Linked DNA regions of Neurospora crassa OR74A. The main gene of each other region encodes a partner of the protein of the gene in region 2 in a complex. Links are inferred from orthologs where the notes say so. Each region holds a gene or a part of one and is shown on either strand. Other genes may lie near its edges. The genes, in order: NCU11012 and NCU01772.

Region 1 (3,750 bases), on a different chromosome or scaffold from region 2:
GGATTTCTGGAATCACAAGCCGCCTTCGTCGCCCTCCCTTACCGGACCTGGTGTTCCGACAACGACGGTGATTACGGTTCCTTGTCTCCCTGTTAGCACTGGCAAGCCGACATCTACTTCCGTTCCAACGTCCACCAAAGCGGCCACATTCACAACCAGCACCACCACCACCGGCACCAAATGCCCAATCCCAACATCCACCTCCCTCTGCAACCCCCCCAAAAGCAACAAACCCCCCGTAGGCGGGATCCCTCTCCCCGTAGTAACCTGCAACGACCTTCTCTCCTCTTTCTCGTCCGGTCACCCCTTCAAGCTGTACACGGACTCGGACTCGAGCAAGTGCAAGTCATACGCTCGCTCGTCGTTCTCGACAGCCTGTCTGGATGCGTGCCAGGAGCAGTACGATGATTGTGTGGATGTGTACGCCAAGGGGTGCAAGGAAGGAAAGTACGGCAAGGATGATTCGACCTCGTACGCGGGGGCGGTGCTGAAGTGTAAGGAGCAGTATGCGGATTGTACGTTGGCGAATTGGGGGAAGAATGCGGGAGCGAAGTGTAAGGTTTGGGGGACGGGGCCTTGGTGAGGTGCTGACTGCTGAGCCGTGTGTGGTGCTGGGACGCAGAAGGAAAGGAAGGGAAGCTTGGGAGAACTGGTGTTCATAAGGATGTTGCTGGACATGCGTGGTGATAGGGATGGCGGTAAGCTTGACACGAACGCTGTTCTTCGATTCTCAAGTAGGTAATTTTGTATGAGTGTTATACTCTATTCCTTTTCTGTATAATTGACATACTAATTGATCTGAATATTCGCTATCAAATAGCGACAGGAAATCTAAGCAGATATCAGCATGAAAAGTGCGGCGTAAACAAGGCTCTTGATACCTCATATGCCCAGGCCTGTTGAACAATAGCACGAACGTACAGGACAATGACTGATCAGACGCACGTGAATTTTTGAATGGGCCCTTTATTCAACTCGAGGAGCACATTGTGCTCTTGTTGTTGCCCTTTGGATCGAGTCCAACCGTCCCAAAATGATCAAATATGATGTATAAAACTTCAACCTGAACGCCCTCGCTAATGCAATTTTGTGTATTTTCTGACCAAAGACTGGGTCGCCCCTATTACCCCTGACGGGTCTTGTAGGTTTCCGTTTACTGCAGGAGCTCCTCGCAGGTCCAGTCCTCGTAGCTACGTAGGGATGTTAGCGGGTATTCGGCTAGGTGCCGGGAAAAGGACAACTTACTATCCATCAGGCATGTAACGACGGACAATCAGAGGAATCTTCTTCTCGCGCAGCTCCTTGATGGCGATTTGAAGAGGATCCGTCTCACCCTCGAGATCAACCAGCACTGGCGCGTTCATGCTACAAAGGTGGTTCCTTGTCAGCCCAAATCCGTCCCTACAGTCGTCCAAGCGCCACCGATGAGGAAACCCACCTGATTTGCAGAGCACGTGTGCCGAGGATACGAGCTTTCTCGTACTTGGTCATGTAAGGTGTCGTGGAACGCTGGTCGTTGGGAATCTTCTTGTCCTTGTGGGATTTCTCGTTGCCCTTGCCAGCGTTGGCGGCCGCGTTAGGGTCACCCGAAGTGACTATGTTGTTATCGTTTTCGGCCTCGTCGACTTCGTCGCCGGGTCTGCCCGCTACGTCGTCGTCCGCGGGCTCGGGTTCGGGCTCGTAGTACTCATCCGGGTCCTCATCGAAGGCGGGCTCGTCGCTGGCGGCTACGTGTTAGCATCTCTTGCGTTACGCATGAGTTGCGGTATCATGTGTAGAGGTTGATGCCAAGGACTAGGTGGGTAGGTGGCGTTGGAAACCTACATAGGCTCGCGATCATCGTCACCGTGGTCACCGTAGTCGGACATTTTTGGTGGGTTTGTTTAGGAGTTGATTGATGGTAAGGATAATAAGATATGGGCTGCAGCTGCACAAGTAGAGGTAGGTATGTGGACAAAATGGTATTGCCCAAAACGCGTGGATGTGGAAGACTGGACGTGTTTGGCCGACCGTGGATGCGCAAGGTGGTGAGGGAAGGGCGAAGGGCTGACAAAAGGACGACAGAAAATTCGAGTGGGGCCGCTACTTTATGCAAGGCTGAGCCGTGCCAAGACATAAAACCTTAAAGAGACATGGGGGGTAAGAAGTGATGATGTCTCATTCGTCCAAAGTAGTCTAAAGAGTAGAAGAGGGGAGGGATCTGAGAAGCCCCCACCTAGCTAACTTAAATAGGCTAAGAATGCCCAATGCACGTGACACCAGAGAAGTGGGTCACAGGGGTGGGGCCAATGGATGGGCCATCAGCTTCTTCATGGGTTCCCTTCCTCCAGGTCCCCCGAATTTCACTCGCTCGTAAAATTGCCTGCCGGTGCTGGAACCGGAAAACGTCAGATAAACTTTTTGAAGCGGCAGGGACACCCACCCCGGACGAAAAGTCCAATCGGCAGGTGCAATGCAAAGGTTCCGTCACAAATGTGAACCTCCAAAAAAAAAATCCATCCAAGCGAATTTCCCAAAAAGCGTGGAGCTCCCTCTCTCCAATGTCGAAGCTCCAACCAAGTCCAGGGTAGCAGGCCACGGCGACCAGTGCTGCTACTCCAGGCCTCAAAATGAAGCGGAAACAGGACGACGAGCGCCTTGATGGCCATGACGGCCCCGACCATGCTCAAGTCCAATCCAAGAAAAGAGCTACTGATTGGGTCCAGCAGCAGCAGGAGGAGGAACTCTCACAAGTAGAGCAGCTCGAGGCACCGGCCCTACCCTCGCAATCGCGATCGCCACCTGCTGGCGCAGAGGCGGCAGCTTCTGATGGCAACGGCAACGACAGCCTCGAACTCGACCCTGACTCGGCCTCTGTTGCCTCGGTTGCCAACACCTCCCTTACCCACGCCGATCCGACGACTACGGTAGCAGCAACTAGTATCAACACTACCACGACTCGTGCTTCACGCCGCTTCCCCTCCGATCTCAAGACCATCAGGTGCACATTCGCCGGTTGCACCAAGACCTTCAACCGCCCTGCTCGTCTGGCTGCCCACCTCCGATCTCACACAAACGATCGCCCGTTCAAGTGCCCCTACGATGACTGCGACAAAGACTACCTCGAAGAGAAGCACCTCTCCCAGCACATCAAGGGATCTCATACCAACGATCGAAAGTACACATGCCCCGAGCCCGGTTGCGGAAAGTCCTTTGTCACTAATACACGACTTCGCCGCCATGCTCTGGTTCACGAGGGCGCCGATCGCTACCGCTGCCGCGGCTATGGGGACTGTGTCCAGAGCTTCCGCAAGCACCAAACGCTCCAGAGACACATCCGAACCGTTCATCTAGGCAAGTCGGCATATCCATGCGGTAACGACGGGTGTGACGCCGGCTTCGACACTGCAAGTGCCTTGCGAAGGCACGTAGAGCGCGAGCACGGTGACCTGAAGTTTTGGTGCGACGAATGCAACGCTGAAGGAGAGGGTGATGACAGTGGAGGTCGCCGTGTTGGATTTACCACGATGCTGCTGCTTCAAGCCCATATGAAGAAGGAGCACAACAACTGCGCCTTCTGCGGTGTCAGATGCGGTACACAAAGCAACATGATGCGTCACGTTGAGCTCTACCACTCAGCCAAGACAGTCGAAGATCGAAAGACGATTGCTTGCACGTGGGAGGGCTGTGACAAAAAGTTCACGCGTGTCTCCAATCTCAACACGCACATCAAGTCTGCCCATGAAGGCCATCGTTTCGTCTGCGGACAGA
Region 2 (3,920 bases):
CTAGAGAAGCCTTGTTCAGAACAAGCGCATCTTCGATATCGTAGCCAGAGTAAGACATGACAACGACGGTGGCGTTCTGTCCTGCCGGGAGCTTGTCGTAGTGGATAAGTTGAATCGTCTTCGTAATGACCATTGGTCGTTGGGGATAAACAAGGGTATAAAGAAGGGTATCGATTCTGTTGAACTGATTGTAGGCAATAGCACCAATGGCTTGTTTACCCATGGCGCACTGGTAAGTATTACGGGGAGACTGGTTGTGATGGGGAAAGGGAATTAGACCAGCGACTGCTCCGAGAATCGTGAACGGCTCAATTTCCATGTGCGTAGTGCTGTTGGTGATCTGATCCTCCTGAAGCGCCACAAGGGTATCGTTCTCTTCGTTGACATCGAGATACTCAACCACGCCGCTGGTCAGGAAAGTGTCGAATGTCGCTTGCCCGAGTTGAAGCATCTTCAGGTGCTCTGCCTTCAACATGGATTTGCCGTTCTTGACGATGATGTACGGGCGGCAAATACGTCCTTCATCGGTAGCGATATGAACCGCCGAGAAGTGCTCGTTGATGTGGATGCTCACAAAAGGAGAGACCCAGCCCCGGCGACGCAAAGTTCTGAACCTGGCGGCAAACCGCTTTGGCTCCCTGGTCACAGCAAATGGTGTACCGTTCAAATGGATGATATACGAGCCTTTGCTGTGCATCTCTGTTCCGGTGTATTCTCGGATCGGTCCCACGCTCTCATCAGCAGCAAAAATCATCTTCTTAACTGGTTCCTCCGGCACATTCGTGGTAATGTGTGTCATGAGTGCCAAATTCTTTACCAGACCACAGGCTTCACCTTCAGGTGTATCAGAGGTGCAGAGCATACCCCACTGTGAGGGCTGTAGGGCTCTTGGACCGGAAACCTTTCTTGTTTTTTCGAACTGTGAGCTGATACGCGTCATCATACCCAGCGCAGCGATATAACTGAGTCGGCTGAGCACGTGGGTGATACCGGCTCTGTTCATGTTGAAACGCTTGACCGTCCAGTTGCCGCTCTGAATGGCGCGGTTAAGACCGTGAGAGATATAATGGCCGTTAGCCATGATCGCACCATGGGGATCATACGTAGAGGTACGGTTGGGTTTCTTGAAAAAGTTGTCAATGTTGTACTTGACGTCTGAAATGAACTTTTTGAACAAGTCTTCAAATAGAAGGGAGATCAACTGTCCAGCCAATTCCAATCTCTTGTTGCCGACGAAATCTCTGTCATCGACGAGCTTGGGATTCTGAGCTGCCATCAGCACGCGGCGAACCATCATGGCAATGTAGACGGCCTTGGGATAGAAGTCGAGACCCTCAACAGTAACGTGCGCGATAACTAAGTTCGCAAGTGCGTCGAGACCTTCTTCAGCATGGTTTCTTCGAGGAGCGGCACCGAATTTGGGTCTGTTACCGCCCATCTTGACTCTAGCACCAACGTATTCCAACGCTTGTTGTTGTGTGTAGACACCAGCTCTTCCGGCTTCATCGAAGTTGATGAGGAAATCGTCCTGGTAGCGCGCATCGCCACCGCAAACCAGCTCGATGATGTCGTTGTCGGAAAGACCACCGAAGGCCTTGAGAACGATGACGATGGGAATGGGCTCGGAGAGGGTGTTGTGCTGCAGGACAATCCGGTCCTTCTTGAGTACGACGTAAGTCTTTGACTTTCTCTCGTGTGTGGAACTGGTAACCGAGGCCATGACTCCGCCGGTCTTCTCGTCGGCCTCGACAATGATACGGTTCTTGCTAAGCTGTTCCTGAATCAAGATGACCTTTTCGGTTCCGCCAATAACGAAGTAGCCACCAGGATCGAGAGGGCACTCGTTGAAGACCTCCATCTGGGCATTGGTGGCGCCGTTGAGGTAGCACTTTGCGCTCTTGAGCATGACGGGAATGCGGCATAGCGGGATGTTCTTGCGGACGATAACGTTCTTGTCGCGGGTGTAGGCGATGTCGACCTCGACGGGGGCGGCATAGGTGAGGTCGCGGAGACGGCACTCCATGGGGGTGACGGGGTTTCGAGACTGGACTTGTTCGCCATCTTCGGTGCGGGTGGGCATGCCGACGCGGATGTCTCTGAACTCGAGCCAAAAGTTGGGGTCCTGGTCGCTGCGGACGACGCGGTTGGCCCTAACGATGTCCTTGATTTCCTCGTTGACGAAGTAGTTGTACGAGTCGATGTGTTGCTTGACGAGGCCCTTGACCTTGAGGAAGGCCGGGACAAGATGGAACTTGTCCTGCGTGGTCGAGATGGGATCGGTCAGCTTCTTGCCATTGTAGAACGGCTCCAGCAGGGCCTCAAAGCCATCGTCGAGAGCCGCCATCCTTGCATGTGCTAACTGCGGGTGACGGTTCGTCGTATCGATCGGGCCGGAGGAATGGAGGATGGCGATGATGGGCGCGGAACGACCGGGAATGTGTGTTTGGTTGAGAAGATACGCCTTGCAGTTGTGTAGGTAGATTTCGATGTGATTTTTGGCCCCGCGGCAAATTGATAAGGATTAGTTGCGATAAACTTTTTCTACGGGCTGGCCGCTGCCATTTCTTGTTAGGTCAGTAGAGGTAAGCCGCGGCTGGGGCGGTGGGGGACGACGGGGCGGGAGTGGTCTGTGCTTGACTGTTAGTGTGTGTAGTGCACTACACTAGAGGTAGTGTTGTGGTGCGGTGACCGGTGACTGCTAGTGACTGCAGTGGTACCTAACTGGTATGCCGAGGCCAAAATTGTTAGCGCCCACGTTTTGGACCCCTGATTGACAGTTACATATACCTATGTAGGTTCCTTGTTCCACTTTTGGCCGTGCCCTCCACCTGTCGGGTACCTTTGAAACCTTTCCTTTTGCTTTGACTCCGGACCGTCACTTTGATGTTCGTGATAAGGAACCCCCGCCTCTGTGCAACTCCGACACATCTGCCTCCTGGTGGTAGGTTGTATTTACCTATCCAACTTCAACTAGCACAGCGATTTGAACAATTTGTAGCGGGGTCAGGCCAGCTAGGTAACCTCAAGATAGCTATGTATCCGTTCTGCTGAATCTAGCCGCGCCAAGCGGAAGCCGGGCCTTCGATCGACACACCAGTCAACAGGGGAGAGCTTCTGGTTATGAAATCACCTGCCGGGTCGTTCACTATTTCTCTCCTACCTGTTATCATGTTGATGGTCTTCTTCGGTCTTTGTTCGTTGATATGGCAGCCTTTGAATTGCTAATCGCATACAACGGAGGTTGATGTTATTCCCAAGTGCTGTGACCTGCTCAGGCTTCAAGAATCAGAGAAGGGTTATGCTTCTGGCTGACTATACAAACGTCAAAGAGTCGCATCACCGTTGGCCGTGTCTTACAGCATAGTGTAGGTAGGTACCCATCTTTTCCTAGGCCAGCTCCAGCAGGGTGCTACCTTGCTTGAATCGACCTGGAACCCAACCCAGCAGTGGGGCAAGATCCGAAAGAGGAGCAATTGAAAAAAAAAGGCGAGGAGATTTCACATCAAGGTTAAACACGGGGGCGCTGCACTTGTGCGTTCGCTTTCTCTACCATGGTCTCAATGAGCATTCAAGACATTCCATATCTCAGCGTCTACCATAGCTATCACCTGGCTATCGTACATTTGAGTGCTCAGAATGTAAATCGATCTTCTCTCTTGTACTGAATCTTCCACAGGGCAGAAGTGAGGGTTAGAGTGTCCAGCCTTGAACATTGACGGCTGTCTGCCTGTCACTCACTGTCTTGTGCCTTTTGTCACTATGGCTACCTTTCCCATGCCTTGTCTCGAGCTTGTCTCGCGTGTCAGCTAGAGTGCTGCAACACGCAATCCCTCTCCCGTTCTGTCGCCAGCCAATCATTACCTATCCGGTTCCAGACAAGGCCTAACATCGCGCAGGGGCAGCTGCAGACTGGACGCAAG

Evidence for each region.
Region 1: NCU01772 (region 2) and NCU11012 share a complex: the UniProt entries of both Saccharomyces cerevisiae proteins name them as parts of the RNA polymerase III (Pol III) complex. The link is inferred for Neurospora crassa OR74A from reciprocal best matches to the Saccharomyces cerevisiae genes RET1 and RPO26.

What each region holds. Positions count from the first base shown.
Region 1 is NC_026503.1:2,365,591-2,369,340, reverse strand, and holds NCU11012 (DNA-directed RNA polymerase I), read right to left. Parts: upstream 2,172-3,750; 5' UTR 1,869-2,171; coding exon 1,825-1,868; intron 1,721-1,824; coding exon 1,439-1,720; intron 1,366-1,438; coding exon 1,246-1,365; intron 1,191-1,245; coding exon 1,154-1,190; 3' UTR 623-1,153; downstream 1-622. Other genes in the region: NCU00039 (hypothetical protein), read left to right, coding at 1-583; NCU00038 (C2H2 transcription factor), read left to right, coding at 2,610-3,750. UniProt on the Saccharomyces cerevisiae protein: DNA-dependent RNA polymerases catalyze the transcription of DNA into RNA using the four ribonucleoside triphosphates as substrates.
Region 2 is NC_026502.1:2,489,885-2,493,804, reverse strand, and holds the start of NCU01772 (DNA-directed RNA polymerase III polypeptide), read right to left. Parts: upstream 2,531-3,920; 5' UTR 2,345-2,530; coding exon 1-2,344. UniProt on the Saccharomyces cerevisiae protein: DNA-dependent RNA polymerase catalyzes the transcription of DNA into RNA using the four ribonucleoside triphosphates as substrates. Second largest core component of RNA polymerase III which synthesizes small RNAs, such as 5S rRNA and tRNAs.